Saccharomyces cerevisiae S288C: one gene and its partners. The gene in region 1 interacts genetically with each later gene. Each region holds a gene or a part of one and is shown in the gene's direction. Other genes may lie near its edges.

Region 1 (5,702 bases):
AATAAGGTTATAGATACTGCAATACTTTATTCAAGAACAAAGTTTAAGGTTTCTTTGAAGAACTTAGCGTTTGAAGTTTTGAGTAGAAAAATCCAAAATGGCGAGCATGATAGTTCTCAAGATGCAATAGCAACGATGGACGTTGTTAAAGTCAAAATAGGTATTTCTCCAAGTCAAAACAAGTGGGAAAAATAATGTGATCATATTCAAAGTTGAGCAGACATATATAGTTATTACATTTCATACGGTTCACATGAGTTTTATTAAGTAATTACGTTAAGAAACAACATGATAAAAGTAATGATTTCGTATTGCTTTCCTATTTTCTGTATTTAAGCGAACAATAATAATGCACCTTTTCAATATCTGAATATTAAAATATCGTGAAATTGGGTTCAGGATGTACCAAACTTGATGATAGCTGAAGCACCATAATCCTATTTAAAGAAGTACCTGTTATCCGTCAGTAATTACCAGAACAAGTTAATTTTAAGTTTAATCTAAAAAAGTATTGCATGCGGCATTAAAAGACAACATAAAACATCTAAACGGTAAAGTATGATCGATAATTCTCCATAATAGTTCTGTTATTTATAATCTCCAGCACTAATAAATGCTATACGTATATTTGTACACAATATAATTTCAGAATTTATATTGCTACCATGACTGTCTGAGAATTGGGGGAATAACTTGATAATTGTTGGGATTCCATTGTTCGTAAACGCAATAATATTAGGTATATAGAAGATACTAAATGTTCTCTCCGAGGATATAGGAATGCTCACAATGGAATCGATATATTTCTACATAATAGTATTGAGATTATTCCTCTTTTAGTTTTATATAATTCATTATCCTATTACATTATCAATCCTTGCATTTCAGCTTCCATTAGACTTAATGACTGTTTCTCAATTTTTATGTCATCTTCCTGGACCTCATGTGATACTATACCAGTAGCATGAATACTACTGAATCGATGATACTTTAGAGTTTCATTGCAACAGTTTCAACACAGCCTGGCATGAACAGTGGTAAAAGTATTTCGTCCACTATTTTCGGCTACTATAAATAAATGTTTTTTTCGCAACTATGTGTTCGCGAAGTAACCCTTCGTGGACATTTGGTCAATTTGAAACAATACAGAGATGATCAGCAGTTCCCCTGCATAAGGATGAACCGTTTTACAAAGAGATTTATTTCGTTTTTTTTTTATCATCGAGTGAAGTATCGTGACTTGTACATTTGAAGATACCCAGCGTACAGCAGTGTATCTTTATCTTCCTGTATGATATAGATAACTAACATCTCGAATAGAAAATTGTCTCGCGTTCGAACCTAAGCCTTTGCTATCGGTTGAACATAGAAGACCGCGTGATTCATTTTAGTGCGTAAGAATGCTATTAGTACTTATGTGCTTTATGAATGTGAATATTGTTACAGCTATGCAATGGTACGATCATACTCTGAACGATCCATTTAAATTATATATGTCAAACAGAAGAGAAAGGTTTTTTTATTGAAGATTTCACAGAAAATCAATCATTTTGCAATATTCCTTCGTCCCAGAGAAGGTTTCGGCTTTTACAGCAACGAGAATGATTCTTCCATTATTTGTACCTAGCTTCCACATGGATTTCGATAAGTGTAGTTTCAAACCATGAACGCAATTCAAAACTTTCAAATTGGTGCAATCCAAGACCCTCCCTTTACATTTGGAGTCGTTAACTAATGAGAAAATATTACAGCATTTTGCGCCATTTACCGTCAAGTCACAAATGGAGACACATGCAGGAATAATTAAGTGGGATTCAACTTGCATTTGACTGTCACGAAGTTTGACCTTATATTCGGACAGATCAATTTTAAAATCTGGGTTTTCCAATAAAACATCCGAGAACTTGTTTTCAAACAACACTGCAGCCTCTCTGGATAGGTCTACATGAACAGTCTTATTCTTTTTGTTGAATATTATTTTGCACTGGTTAGAGTGTAATTGGAAAATAAGATCGTGCGAAACTGTATCGATATAAGGCCTTTGGTATTTTAACATGCTCCAGTGTCTTTCAATACAATGTTTTACCTTTTTTGTTGGAGGTTCATATTCATCATTGTTGCCTGAATCAGTCTCGGTTTTATGAAATCCAGTAGCGGCTTTTTCACCCTCAGTTCCATTGAGACAACTGCTTACCGCTAAAGATTGGTTTCCGGTATGAAGTGATGTTAACCTTTCAATGGTTACACCCTTCTTGGAGACGCTATCAAGAGCTATGCAAACTTCTTGACAATTAGTTAAGGGATTATATATAATTTTTGCCCGCACTAATTCCTGCTCCAACCTGTTGAGACGGTAATAACGACACTCTTTTATCAGAGATGCGGTTCTTTCCTCAGACAGTTCTAATTTGGAACCGCCCAGTAAAGATAATATATCTCGGAAAAATTCTGGGGACCTTGCAATATATGAGGGTGGTAATAAAGGTGGAAAGCCCGGCTTCTTATTTGACTCCCACTTCTCAATTTCCTCATAAGATATGCGAGAAATCGTTTCAAAATAGTTCAACCGGTTCCCTTCTTCATGGAATAATGATTTTGGTACCTTAAAGGGAACACCTCCAATATTAGTGAAGTGGTAGTCGTATTCTTTTATGAGTTTAACTAACTTGGGTAACTGAAAATATAATGCGTCCGCGAAAAGACAGGTAAATTGTACTTCGTTCTTAATATCGGGAAAATAACCTTGTAAATGTCTGTATATTATGATGAACACGTCTTCCGATCTATCAACAAATAGAATCGTATTTTTATCGTGCGTATTGAAGAATTGGGTGAAAAAATTGGGCGCATCCGAATTCAATGTAGCACCTGAGATCTCAAATAGCTTTTGGCCAATCCTAATCTTGAAAACTTCATGGTTTGGTAAAAGCTCGGGGGTAGTTTCTAACTCTTTTGTATAAACCACGATCTCGCCCTTTTGGCCAGACATCTGATATGAGCGTGCGTGTGAGTGACTTTACACTTGTCTATCCACGTCCTGAAGTTGTTCGTGTTCTTTGGATATTCGTGTTCAAGCTAATAATGAGCCTTTAAGGTAATACAATTTATAAACCACCACCTTGGCCTCGATCTATTGCGCTTATGTTGTCTATTAGTAATCAAGAAAAGAACCCTAAATCATCGGCGTCCCCTGTGGGGCTCTCGGAAAAACCGGTCCTGACGTCACTGAAAAGATTTCGGCACATGGTCATGGGACCAGAGAAAAATTAATCCGACATGTGGAATATTTCCTTCCGTTAAGGTAGTGAGCGCGGATTTTTTCTGATTTGTAATTATACGGGGAGCTCTGGCCAAAAAGGTCAGTATTTGGTGATGAAGTTGAATATCATCTTTTGATTTTCTTCTGTATCATTCTTTTTCTTTTTCCACACCCCTTCCGGACGGTATTCACATATTGTTGAGAGGTTAAATGAAAAATAAAGGGGTGGAAAATTAAGGACGAGATGTAAGGGAAAAGCATAAACGAAACATTATATAAAGGAGCACAATTTCCTCTCCCTTGCCAATTGTGCATATACCGTTTCTTTATAACGAAATTTCAACAAACCAGAACAACACAAGTACTACCAATAACCACAACAAAACATGTCTGACTTAGTTAACAAGAAATTCCCAGCTGGCGACTACAAATTCCAATACATTGCTATCAGCCAAAGTGATGCTGACAGTGAATCTTGTAAGATGCCACAAACAGTTGAATGGTCCAAATTAATTTCTGAAAACAAGAAGGTTATCATTACCGGTGCTCCAGCTGCTTTCTCCCCAACCTGTACTGTCAGCCATATTCCAGGTTACATCAACTACTTGGATGAATTAGTTAAGGAAAAGGAAGTTGACCAAGTGATCGTTGTTACTGTTGACAACCCGTTCGCTAACCAAGCGTGGGCTAAGAGTTTAGGTGTTAAGGACACCACACACATCAAGTTTGCCTCCGACCCAGGCTGTGCTTTCACCAAATCCATTGGTTTCGAATTAGCCGTCGGTGACGGTGTTTACTGGAGTGGTAGATGGGCCATGGTTGTTGAAAACGGTATCGTTACTTACGCTGCCAAGGAAACCAACCCAGGTACCGATGTGACCGTTTCCTCAGTCGAAAGTGTCTTGGCTCATTTGTAGATGCTATGTAATAGACAATAAAACCATGTTTATATAAAAAAAATTCAAAATAGAAAACGATTCTGTACAAGGAGTATTTTTTTTTTGTTCTAGTGTGTTTATATTATCCTTGGCTAAGAGGCACTGCGTATACTTCAAGGTACCCCTGTGTTTTGAAAAAAAACAACAGTAAAATAGGAACTCCGCGAGGTTCAGGAACCTGAAACAAAATCAATAAAAACATTATATGCGTTTCGAACAAAATTAAAGAAAAAGAATAAATATAGATTAAAAAAAAAAAGAAGAAATTAAAAGAATTTCTACTAAATCCCAATTGTTATATATTTGTTAAATGCCAAAAAAGTTTATAAAAAATTTAGAATGTATAAATAATAATAAACTAAGTTTACAACAACAAAGCAGCGGCACCAGCCAACAAAGCACCAGCAGCTGGCAAAGCCTTAGCAGCAGCACCAGTGTAAGAGGTGACAGAGTGAGTTGGAGCAGCAGAGGTGGTGTTCTTTGGAGCTTCAGTAGAGGTAACTGGAGCAGCAGTAGAAGTACCGTTCTTTGGGGCTTCAGTGGTCAATGGGCACCAGGTGGTGTATTGAGTGATAACGTCATCGACGGTGACGGTAGCGGTGGAAACCAAAGCTGGGGAGACAGTTTCAGAACAGACGTGGTCTTCACAAGAAGTGATGGTGACCAAAGTGGTAGATTCTTGGCTGACAGTAGCAGTGGTAACGTTAGCAGCGGCAGAAGCGACAGCGGCGACAGCGGCGATAGAAGCGACAGTAGAAAATTGCATTATTGATATAGTGTTTAAGCGAATGACAGAAGATTAATTTCTTGGTATGTTAGGAAAGAATAAAGGAGAATAAGAATAATTAGAACAATGTAGGATGGAAAGAAAGATTATCAAGCATGCCGACTTTATATACTTGAACGGAGGCAAAGGATGCAAAATTTTCTCACATTTCTTTCTGCCGTTATGTTGGAAGTAAGACTCCCATTATCGCAATACTGCAACACGAATATGCAAAATTTGCTGAGTTATCGCAGATAGTTGTTGCAAAGATAGCGGCGTAGGTGGCCGCGAAATGGGGAATTCCAAAACAAACGGTTTTTTTACTCCTGAGAAATACTTGTACGGGATAATCCAGGGCCTACCACCCACGCTTCGAGGATTGGCTTTTATTTTTTTTTTTTTGGTGGCGTTTTATTTCTTTCCCGCTTTCTGGGACTTGTGCGGAGTTTTGAGAGGGGCGCGCGGCAAAGGATTCCCAAAACGGAAATCAGACGCCAATAGCCAGCACTCAAAGCAGTTCTGGACCCATTCCGATTTTCCCATTTGGTTCTTGCGCGTGCTGATTCCGACACGCGCGTCTATAAATAGCATGAAGTATCCGCACACCGCAGCGTTAGTGAGGTGAGGGTGGCAGCAAGCTAATTCCCGCATCTGGAATCTGAACTGCCCCTTTTGGACTAACCGTGTGGTTCATGGGTGGGCGAAGTGCGCAACCTCGAAGGTTTTCTTTTGCGTGTCG
Region 2 (5,663 bases), on another chromosome or scaffold:
CAGTTAGTCTGCTTTTTTACGTATATATATATATATATGTGTGTATAATGAAAAGACAGTACACTTAAAAGAAGAGAAAGTCATTTAAAAAAAGTCAAAAAAAAATTAAACTTGTAAATGTCAGCGTAACGATAATGTATATACTTTAAATGTAAACTACAATCTTGAAGATCTTTTAACACGAGCGCAATGTCTATCGAACAATTTCTTGGCTCTAACCCAGACAGGAGCAGTTTTTCTTTGAGGTAGGAGCTCTAAAGATGGTAAGAGATCATGAGAGAAAAATTCTGAAGCTTCTCTTGGCAGCAAAGAAGGCAAGTGATCAATAGAGATGACAGATAATTTAGGCCCGGCAGTGGTAGGTACCAGAACGGTAGGTTTGTTAAACACAGTAGCCACAGTGTATATTGGGATGGGGTTGTGAGGGTTGGTAGTGTCTGCTGATACGTCCACCACGGTCCTTAGTCTTCTGTTAGGATTATTCAGTTTCTCCATGTTAGTGAAAGGAGCAATTGGCTTCGATAGATATATACAATTGATAAAAATATCAGCTTGTGGAATTTCGTCAAAGGGACCACCACGGGAAGTTTCTTTGATATCCCATTTTAATATGTTAGCATCTGGAATACCAACTTTGTGCAACAGATCGATGGCACCGGAACCACATCTTCCTAGCGCACCAATGATTAACACGGTTGGCTTTCTGGCTCCGGTGGCTAAGGCTTCTTTATAATCTTTGGTAACATCTTTAACCAATGCCTTTTCATTGGGGTAAGGCGACACTGCAGGCAAGTCTTCATCGTCAGAATGCGTTTGCTTGAATGCCCAGTCTCTTACACCAAGGGCTGCACCTGCGAACCCAGCGTAAAATCCAAAGGCAGCAACTCTTCTACCTTGGTCATTTTCCAAAAATTCCAAATCATATAGAGTACCGTGTCCCTTAATAAATCTCATAAGGACATTTTGCCACCCAGCTTGGTCTTTGTAGCAGTGAGCAAACTGGATGTGTTCGTGGACTAGAGGGAAAGTATCGGTTTCAGGCATTTCCTTCAAACCTATAATGATTCTGTCGCGTGGAGCGGTTTTCCATGAACCTGCAGGCACTATAATGGCACCTGCTTGACGATATTCGTTAATATTGAAAGTAGATTGTGGACTGTCCTCTACATATATTTTGAAGCCCTTAGCTATCAGTTTTTTAACCGTGGTAGGTGTTAAGGCAGCACGTGCCTCTAGGGGTTTAGTTTCAGCTCTTAGATGTAATGTGACGGCAGCCATTTTTGCGGTTGTGTGAAAAATAAAGCGTTTTCGTTGTTATCTTATGGTATGCCTCCTAAAATACCAGTTTCCGTCAGGGAAGATGGGCTTTTTATATATTTCATCGTGGTTTCTCGAGGATGACTTTATGACTCTTTGTCGCTGAAATCGCAGGGGAATTTTGGCGGTTGAGAGCGGAATTCCAAATTCCGCTGGAAAAAAAAAATAATAATGCAAAATGTATAAATGTATAAGAGTCTTTTTTGACTCATCGACTTAGTATGTAACAATTTATATGTACCTGCTATCCTCAAGGCATAAAGTCCGCCAAGGCAGGGTCATTATAGCTCAAGTACTGTCCATTAACACCGTCAGGAATACCATGAAGGGCCAATTTGGCATAAACTGTAGCTGGCACAGAGCTATCCAGCAACTGGTTATTCTCCTTTAAACCTCTAAACATCTTCAATTGCTCTGCACTCATGGAGGAAGGCCCCACGTTCTCCCTAATGTTAACTTGCATATCTGTGTCCACAATACCTGGGGCGACGGCAATGGCTTTCACTTGCCTTTCCTCGTTGGCCAGAGTCATGGCGAAGTGGTTCAGAGCGGCTTTTGAAGAACCGTAAGCTCCCCAACTGCTGAAGTACATGTTACAGGCGTCCGAACTGACGAATACCACGTTACCGTTGGTCTTCTTCAATTCAGGTAACGCAATGCCAACCAAGGAAACAATGCTGAAGAAGTTGATGTCATACAGCTTCTTCCAAGCGTTGACATCAATCTCGTTGACATTTTGCACGGGCTCTAGGACACCAGCGTTGGCAACCAAGGAGTCGATCTTGCCGTGGCCCTTAACAGCAGCGTTAACCAACTGCTTCAACACGGAATCCTCGGTAATATCACCGACAACGTAAAAAAACCTGTCGCCATACTTCTCTTTCAACTTCTTCAAGGGTGCCTCAGACCTGGCTACACCGTAAACAACCGTGTCCTTGTCCAAACTGAAAAGAACATCCACGATGGACTTACCGATACCTCTGGAAACACCTGTAACTAAAATAACTTTACCCATGTTTTTTTAACCTGTTACACGCTGTAGTTAGACCCTTTTTTTTAGGTACAATATTCTTCCATTGCACTTGATCTTTTTCGTTTACGTATATATATGCAAAAGTTAATGTTCATACTGTCTTCTCTTCATTTCTTTGAAAACACCGCGGAATTCCTTCGGTGATACATTCAATCCGGTTCTTGGCACAGAAATGGCCGCACAAAACTGTCGCTCATCGCAAACCCAATAAAAGTTTAGTAGCTAAAAACTATAACTATACCCTTTTACATAATATAGTTTAGTACTAGCCCTGCACCGGCCCCAGTCGCTCATCGTTGTAGCGGAGATATTGACCGTTCAAAGAGTCGGGAATACCTTTCAGGACGAGTTGCGCTAGTACCGCCGCAGGCACCTTTGGGTCCAGCAGTGACGAAGTCTTGTACAATTGAGTAAACCTCTCGAGAGCCTTGGGTGTCATGCCCTGAGGACCCAATGTTTCCCTAATATCTTTCTGCATCTGCGTGTCAACGACGCCCGGTGCAATACACACGGCACGCACTTTATCACTGGGCTCTTCACTGGCAATGTCCATGGCAAAGTGGTTTAATGCGGCTTTCGAGCAGCCGTACGCCGACCATCCGTTATATGGTTTCACACTGGCTCCAGAGCTGACGAAGACAATGTTGCCTACAAATGGCGAGCTCTTCAAGAGGGGTAAACACAGTGCCACCAAAGAGACAATGCTGAAAAAGTTCACATCGAACAGCCGTTCCCACTGCTTGATGTCGTGTTCGGAGTTGGACTGGGAGATGGACTTCACCGGTTCTAGCATCCCCGCATTTGCGACAATACCGTCCAGTTTTCCATGCTTTTGCCGGATTTCCTCCACCAACGCTTCCATTCGAGACCTGTCCGTGATGTCGAGGACACGATAGACAAATTTGTCTGCACCGTATTCTCTTTGCAAAGACTGCAGACCAGCTTCCGTTCTTGCTACGCCGTAGACGATGCATTCATCGTCCTCTTCGATAACAGTTTTCACCAATTGCAGGCCAATCCCACGGGAGGCACCTGTAATCAAAATAACCTTGCCCATATCCCTTCTTTGACAGATTATAAGTTGTTTCTCTTGTTGCTGTTCGCGACAGCCCTTATTTCCTGTATTCCTTCTTCTTTTTCTGCATTATCGTTTTTAGCCACTTTACGAAAAAGGTCAAAAAGTGAAAAAAAGAGGGAAAAAACCATGAGGAACAGTATGCTCCCTTAATATCGGAAAAGCAATAGTAATAAAAACAGCATCAGAGCTTTCCACGTCTCTCTCTTCCAAGCTGTCATCTCGTAAAGTATTCAAGTTTATCATGTCAGAATTCTATAAGCTAGCACCTGTTGACAAGAAAGGCCAACCATTCCCCTTCGACCAATTAAAGGGAAAAGTGGTGCTTATCGTTAATGTTGCCTCCAAATGTGGATTCACTCCTCAATACAAAGAACTAGAGGCCTTGTACAAACGTTATAAGGACGAAGGATTTACCATCATCGGGTTCCCATGCAACCAGTTTGGCCACCAAGAACCTGGCTCTGATGAAGAAATTGCCCAGTTCTGCCAACTGAACTATGGCGTGACTTTCCCCATTATGAAAAAAATTGACGTTAATGGTGGCAATGAGGACCCTGTTTACAAGTTTTTGAAGAGCCAAAAATCCGGTATGTTGGGCTTGAGAGGTATCAAATGGAATTTTGAAAAATTCTTAGTCGATAAAAAGGGTAAAGTGTACGAAAGATACTCTTCACTAACCAAACCTTCTTCGTTGTCCGAAACCATCGAAGAACTTTTGAAAGAGGTGGAATAGGCAGGTCTTCTTCTTTTGAAGTTAGGTAAAGCTTAGTTTTCTTTTATATTTCCTGATAATACATACTCGCTAGTCAAACCTGTCAATTATTATGTGTCGCAACAGACTATATACGTATACATACATATGTATTGAAGTGTGTGAACGAATTACGCGGCTGCTAGTGCCGTACGAACGCAACAAAACGGTTTAGAAATTGCTACCTAAAGCACGCGCCTTTTCCTTAGAAGCAGCATACGACTCCTCTGAGGTTATGGTCTTTAACCATTTGGAAATGGCAGGATAATCCTCTGGTGCGGCAAACTTTCTTTCAAACGCCATCTGCAAAGGGAAAGACATCAAGATATCGGCACCGCTCAACTTCCCATCAACCAGGTAGCCGTTATTTTTGGAAATTTCACCCTCCACAAAGTCGAACTGGTTCTTAACTTCACCACTAGAGTATGCCTGACTGATCTTGTCTGCCACTTTTCTTGCCAAGTACGAAATAGGGAAGGGCATACCAGAATCCTTCACCTTTGAAAGAATGAACTCAATCATTAAAGGTGGTTGCAAGGAACCTTCTACATAAAACAGATAATAGTTAATCTGGTCTGCAATATCAGCATCTTCGCTCATTAAAACGTGTGAATGATCAAAATGCTGCAAGACATATTGGAAGATGAAACCGGACTCGGCAAGTATCTTCTTCTTACCAGTTTCTCTGTCTTGAACTTCTAACAATGGAGATCTTCCTAATGGGTGAATTTTCTTTAATTCTGGTGGAGCACGGAAGTTAGCATCTCTTTTATAAGGGACAATTTCATATTCAAGGTTCAAATGGTCTAATAACCACAAAAGTCTGAACGCTCTGGAATGGTCCAACCAATGGACTTTGATAATTGGCAACGACATAATGCTTCCTTGATTTACCTTTTCCCTCTCATTTTAGGTTGTTGTAAAAAATATCAACGATCGTTTTATATATAAGGATTCTGCCATAGTATTTCAACGTTATCCACTTCCCCTAAATTTTCACCATACTGGAGCGAGCGGGTACGAGGTGAAAATCATTAGTAAATGGCCGTAGCATGAAAAGTGCGATTGTCATAGTAACAAGGAGGGGCTTATCCTTGGCTATTGCGAGGCACCCCCTCTGTTGCTAACGGAGGTTGTAACTGCCGGTGGTGGTTTTCCTATTAGGCTAGCCTTGGCATACAGATCACCCTTAGGGCCCACTTTGGTGTGAGCTTGAGGTGCTTAACTTTGTCAATACAAGACGGGCTGGGCTAAGCCTTGTAAAAATCCTCATTTGAGCAATGTACTAGTTATAAGCGCAATAGGTGTTTTTTGGACACCCTGTTTCCGTAATATGTCCTCCCCCAAGGGAGCTTACACTCTTGAGTAAAGTCTTCTTCAAAAAAGTAAGGTCAAACCCCGAAACTGAACGCCATGCATTTCCCCCAGCCAGATGTATGTTACTATCAAAGATCTTATCCATGCAATGTCAAGTTACCGTATAG
Region 3 (5,957 bases), on another chromosome or scaffold:
CGTTGAAAATAGAGGCCGTCTTCTGCCAGATATCTTGATCCAACTTAGATTGTTTATCTTTTAGGTTATCGATACATTTGTTAAGTTCGTCGTGGAATTCACTACGCGTCCTGGAAACGTGATCCTGAAAATATCGCTTCATTTCAGCCAACTGTTGGTTGAATTGGTTAGAAATCCTGCGCTCATTGATCAGATCGTTTTTCAGTTTTTTTATTTCTAAATCTTGCTCTTTAATTAATTTCGATGATCCTGACTGCTGGTTTTCTATTAAAACATTCATACTATTCAAGTTAGTGGTGCAATTTTGCGATATTTCGTTTATGGAAGTTAGAATTGAACTGCCTATCGAATCAAGACAGCTTTTAATATCGTTTTGTAAATTTTTTAGAAATTGTTGATGTGATTGGTAGATTTCATTCAAATCTTTACGATAGTGAGAAGTAGAATCACTCTGAAATATTTCCAATGAAGTCGAAATACTACGCACCAGTTCGTTCATCTGATTCATCAATAAGTTAGTAGTAATGTTTAATAACGATTTGAGAGTAGAATCGTGTTTCGCCTTATGGGTATTTACGTTCCTGGTTAGTTCTTCGGTGACGCCTTTGATAACTTCGGAACATTTAGAGTTATAATTATTTAAAGAGCCCTGTAAAGTGTTCAAAGTCTGTAAAACTTGTTGAGAGATTTTTAATTGCATGTTCTGGTTCGTATTATACTGTTTTTGAGAATTTTCTAGTGAAAAATCTCTCTGTTGTATGACTTCATTCATTAGTTCGAGATTAGTATGGTGAATTTTTTGGATTTCCGAGTAAAAGTTAGAAAAATCGACATTAAAATTCTGTATTATGGCAATTAGTTTTTCCTTTTCAGACTGTAAAAGATTATTGATATCTAATTGGTTCAGGTAGTTTTCTTTGAATTTTTTAATTTGTTCTCGCAGGTTATGTATTTTTAGATTTTGCTCATCAATCAAGATAGAATTGCTCTCGTAAAGGTCCAACTGATCTTGAGTTATAAATATACCTTGTTTGTTTCTTGAATTTTTCAAATCATTTCTTAATTTTTCAATCTCTTGAATGTAGTCTTTGAGACATGTATCCTTCGATAAAGACTGATTTACTTGTGGAGTATTCTTAATTGATTTGGCTCTCGTTGCATATTCTAGCGTACTTGCAGTCTCTTCCATGGATATTTTCGCAGGTGATATAGTTGCGATAATGCATGTTTTCGTCATACCACCTAAAGAGTCTTGTAGCAATCTTGTTAGCTTAGATTCTCTGTAAGGTATATGGTTAGAATGATCAACGAGTGCGTTGATAACACGGCCTAGTGTTAGCAGCGATTTGTTTATTAGGCCAGCTTCTTGAGCCCTTTTATTCTCCGCACCCGATCTGTTGATGTTTTCACTGCCTGCCAAATCCACCAAATTCAATTTGCCAATTTTAACAAAATTTTTGTTTTGTCCATGGTCTTTGCTATCTTGCTCAACTATGTTTGTTGTGATTGTAAAGACGGTGTGAGACCTTGATGAAAGATCGTTGCATTTAGTAGCGGCCACTTTCCTTTTTAACGAACCCTGCATTAGCAAATTCAAGCCTTCGTGTGCAGAGTTAATAAAGATTTCCTGCATCCCCTTGACCATGATGGATGAATTATTGTTGTTATTGTCAAAAATACGAATCTGCCTCTTGGGATCGTTGACTGCAGGATCATCGTCCTCACTATCAGAGAGCAGATCTTTCAAATTTTCATTGTACAACTCTAAAAAGGATATTTTTACGGAGTACTCTTTATTTAAGGAGCTCAATTCTTTAAACAAATCGACCAGAACCCGTGGTATGATACCTGCATGCTCTCCTAATAATAGATTATCGGTAGATTGCACATCACCGAGAATATTTATATCGCCAGACATAGTGTAGGTTTTACCTGTTCCCGTTTGACCGTATGCAAATATTGTACAATTGTACCCGTGCAACATTTCCTTAATGTAGTTTTTTGCAGTGGCATTAAACACTGTTTCCTGGTCAGATTCTGCGCCGAACACCTGATCAAATTGGTAAGTTTTCTTCGAGGACGAATACGATTGGTGAGAACCGTTGGACAGAATGATTTCTTTCCCTTGTGGGCCTAGTGTAGATATAACTACACTACTTTTTTCCTCTATTTCTCGCTTATTACGCGATCTGCACCTTACATATACATGTATATTGGAGTCTGAAGTGGCAGCACCATTGTTACAGGTGGGCGGCGTTAGAGTGTGCATCCCATTTGAAAGACTTGGAGATGGAGCATGTGCAATGGTCCTCCTCTTGTTCGCTTCGAACTGGGCGGTGCGGCGGTTGGGCAAGGAAGAACGAGCCATGATTGTTTAACTATCTCGCCATATTTAGTGAGGGAAGCGCGAACTGTCGTTGATTGTTTATGTGTTTATTTTATGTTTATCGTTCTTAGAGGGTGGCGCGCACTGTGCGCGCATATGTGGGCCATACGCAGACATATATAAAGAACTAAGAAAAGGTGAAATGGGACTCTACGATGGCGCTAATGGTAAGGTCTCTTTTCTATTTGCCTAATTCAGATACAATATATAATTGCCAACCTCAAAGAAGAAGAATTATGGGCATATTGACCTTCTCCGGTTTCCCTCCCGCGCTCTCGTATCCGTCTGCATTTGACCTCGAGCAAGCGCTCCACTATGTCTATATGTTTACCAGTAAAACTTCTTAACGTTTGTGATATTTTTTGAACTTCAACCACATTCAGTATGCGTGTGTATATAAAGATATTCCTGATAGCACTATGTTTATCTTTATACAATATACAAAAGGTCACCCAGGACGAGCAGCGCGGCTATTTTTCTATCATTCCGTGAATAGCGACCAACGGTCGGCGGCTATTTTTTTTTTTGCAATTTTTTCGGGATGGGTTCCCCGGCAAAAGCTAGCCCCGGAGATTTTTAATTACGTAAAGAAACAAGGGGCCGGATGTTGCTGCTATTGGTATATAAAGAGAGAAGGAGAGATATAGAAAATTGTGCTTCTAGATTCTCGCAGTAGGATGAGATAAATTTCAAAGAAGCAGGAAGCAAAGGATGTTTAGTAGAATTTGTAGCGCTCAATTAAAGAGGACGGCATGGACCCTTCCTAAGCAGGCTCACTTGCAATCACAGACGATTAAAACATTTGCCACAGCACCTATTCTGTGCAAACAATTCAAACAAAGTGATCAACCAAGACTAAGAATAAACTCTGATGCTCCTAACTTTGATGCTGACACAACGGTTGGTAAAATCAATTTTTACGACTACTTGGGCGACTCTTGGGGGGTCTTGTTTTCTCACCCAGCAGATTTCACCCCTGTCTGCACCACCGAAGTCAGCGCATTCGCCAAATTGAAGCCGGAATTCGACAAGAGAAATGTTAAATTGATCGGGCTTTCAGTGGAAGATGTTGAGTCCCACGAAAAATGGATTCAAGACATCAAGGAAATAGCAAAGGTTAAAAATGTTGGTTTCCCAATAATTGGTGACACTTTTAGAAACGTGGCATTCCTATATGATATGGTAGATGCCGAAGGATTCAAAAATATCAATGATGGGTCACTGAAGACCGTGAGGTCTGTTTTCGTCATCGATCCCAAGAAGAAGATTAGACTGATTTTTACCTACCCTTCCACCGTCGGAAGAAACACTTCTGAAGTGTTAAGGGTAATCGACGCCTTGCAATTGACTGACAAGGAGGGCGTAGTAACTCCAATTAATTGGCAGCCAGCTGACGATGTCATTATTCCTCCCTCTGTCTCCAATGATGAGGCGAAGGCTAAATTTGGTCAATTTAATGAAATTAAACCCTATTTAAGATTCACCAAGTCGAAATAAGCTTTGAAATAAACGACTTTACTATATACAGGTATATGAAGTATCTCTAACTAAAACTTTTATCTATCTTTCATTCTTATTATATCTCATCTCGTACGAAGGGCCGCTCATTGGATCATTTTTCTTTACATACCGTAAAGGAATGGCGTTAAAAATATATATATGAAAATGCATGTAATAAACTCTCTGCAGAAACCTTAATGTCAAAGGTCCCGTATACAGATTATATTGGCTCTGCGTATACGCATTCTCGTCATGGTGAAGGATAATCGAGATTCTGACCAAGACCAAGATTTTAGTTCTGCTCACATGAAAAGACAACCGGAGCAGCAACAGTTGCAACAGCACCAGTTCCCAAGTAAGAAACAACGAATATCTCACCATGATGACAGTCATCAAATCAACCATAGACCAGTTACCTCATGTACACATTGTAGACAGCACAAAATCAAATGCGATGCTAGTCAAAATTTCCCTCATCCTTGCTCCAGATGCGAAAAAATTGGTCTCCACTGTGAAATCAATCCTCAATTCAGGCCTAAGAAGGGCTCACAGTTGCAACTACTGAGACAAGATGTGGATGAAATCAAATCTAAACTCGATACTCTTCTGGCCAATGACAGCGTTTTCGTTCATCTTTTACAACAGATTCCCATGGGCAATAGCCTTTTGAATAAGCTCAATCTGCATCCAACTCCAACTCCGGGTACTATTATCCCTAACCCAGATTCTTCTCCTTCCTCAGGTTCTCCAACTTCTTCCGCGGCTCAACGAGATTCTAAGGTTTCAGTTCAAACTTATTTGTCCAGGGAACCCCAACTCTTACAAGCAAATCAGGGCAGCAATACGAATAAATTTAAAGCAAATAATGAAGCATCTTCTCACATGACGTTGCGCGCATCTTCTTTAGCGCAAGATTCGAAAGGCTTGGTTGCAACAGAGCCAAATAAGCTGCCCCCGCTGCTAAATGACTCAGCATTGCCTAATAATTCAAAAGAATCTTTACCTCCTGCTTTGCAAATGGCTTTTTATAAGAACAACTCTGCAGGTAACACTCCGAACGGCCCCTTCTCTCCAATTCAAAAAACATATTCCCCTCATACTACGTCGACCACCGTTACAACGACAACAAATCAACCACCATTTGCAGCAACAAGCCACGTAGCAACAAATAACAATGCAGATAGGACGAAGACGCCGGTAGTAGCCACCACCACGACTATGCCATTATTGCCTTCGCCGCATGCAAATGTAGATGAGTTTGTACTGGGCGATATTAGTATTTCCATTGAAAAAGCGAATAGATTACACCATATTTTCGTGACTAGGTATCTGCCGTATTTTCCTATTATGTATTCCAATAACGCCACCGAATTATACTCCCAATCTCAGTTGCTTTTCTGGACCGTGATGTTGACGGCATGTCTGTCTGATCCTGAACCGACGATGTATTGCAAGCTAAGCTCTTTGATCAAGCAACTTGCCATAGAGACCTGCTGGATAAGAACACCTAGATCCACACATATTTCGCAAGCTTTGTTAATATTGTGCATTTGGCCTTTGCCTAACCAAAAAGTCCTAGATGATTGTTCTTACCGTTTTGTAGGATTAGCAAAGTCACTGTCTTATCAATTAGGTTTGCACAGAGGTGAATTCATTTCTGAATTCACAAGAACTCAAACATCAATGCCAAATGCAGAAAAGTGGAGAACTAGGACTTGGCTGGGAATATTTTTTGCCGAACTTTGTTGGGCGAGTATCCTTGGTTTGCCACCAACTTCACAGACAGACTATTTATTAGAAAAAGCCTTATCCTGTGGTGACGAAGAATCAGAAGAAGATAACAATGACAGTATTGACAATAACAACAATGATAAAAGGAACAAGAAAGACGAGCCGCACGTTGAAAGTAAATACAAACTACCGGGCAGTTTTAGAAGATTGCTCAGCCTGGCGAATTTCCAAGCAAAATTGTCTCATATCATTGGTTCTTCCACTTCCAGTCCTGATGGTTTATTGGAACCAAAGTATCGTGCTGAGACACTGTCCATCTTGGGAAAAGAGTTAGATTTAT

The links.
Region 2: mutations in AHP1 (region 1) and HYR1 are lethal when combined (synthetic lethality), as found in Saccharomyces cerevisiae (2 studies listed by BioGRID, with this or other methods).
Region 3: mutations in AHP1 (region 1) and PRX1 impair growth when combined (synthetic growth defect), as found in Saccharomyces cerevisiae (one study listed by BioGRID).

Annotation. Positions count from the first base shown.
Region 1 is NC_001144.5:365,136-370,837, forward strand, and holds AHP1 (thioredoxin peroxidase AHP1), read left to right. Parts: upstream 1-3,645; coding exon 3,646-4,176; downstream 4,177-5,702. Other genes in the region: REX3 (RNA exonuclease), read left to right, coding at 1-195; YLR108C (uncharacterized protein), read right to left, coding at 1,532-2,989; CCW12 (Ccw12p), read right to left, coding at 4,562-4,963; YLR111W (uncharacterized protein), read left to right, coding at 5,256-5,588; YLR112W (uncharacterized protein), read left to right, coding at 5,656-5,702. UniProt on the Saccharomyces cerevisiae protein: Thiol-specific peroxidase that catalyzes the reduction of hydrogen peroxide and organic hydroperoxides to water and alcohols, respectively.
Region 2 is NC_001141.2:419,459-425,121, forward strand, and holds HYR1 (peroxiredoxin HYR1), read left to right. Parts: upstream 1-3,669; coding exon 3,670-4,161; downstream 4,162-5,663. Other genes in the region: MGA2 (Mga2p), read left to right, coding at 1-7; LYS1 (saccharopine dehydrogenase (NAD+, L-lysine-forming)), read right to left, coding at 157-1,278; NRE1 (sepiapterin reductase family protein), read right to left, coding at 1,568-2,332; sepiapterin reductase family protein IRC24, read right to left, coding at 2,616-3,407; GTT1 (bifunctional glutathione transferase/peroxidase), read right to left, coding at 4,351-5,055. UniProt on the Saccharomyces cerevisiae protein: Involved in oxidative stress response and redox homeostasis. Functions as a sensor and transducer of hydroperoxide stress.
Region 3 is NC_001134.8:98,297-104,253, reverse strand, and holds PRX1 (thioredoxin peroxidase PRX1), read left to right. Parts: upstream 1-3,097; coding exon 3,098-3,883; downstream 3,884-5,957. Other genes in the region: KIP1 (Kip1p), read right to left, coding at 1-2,368; SEF1 (Sef1p), read left to right, coding at 4,139-5,957. UniProt on the Saccharomyces cerevisiae protein: Thiol-specific peroxidase that catalyzes the reduction of hydrogen peroxide and organic hydroperoxides to water and alcohols, respectively.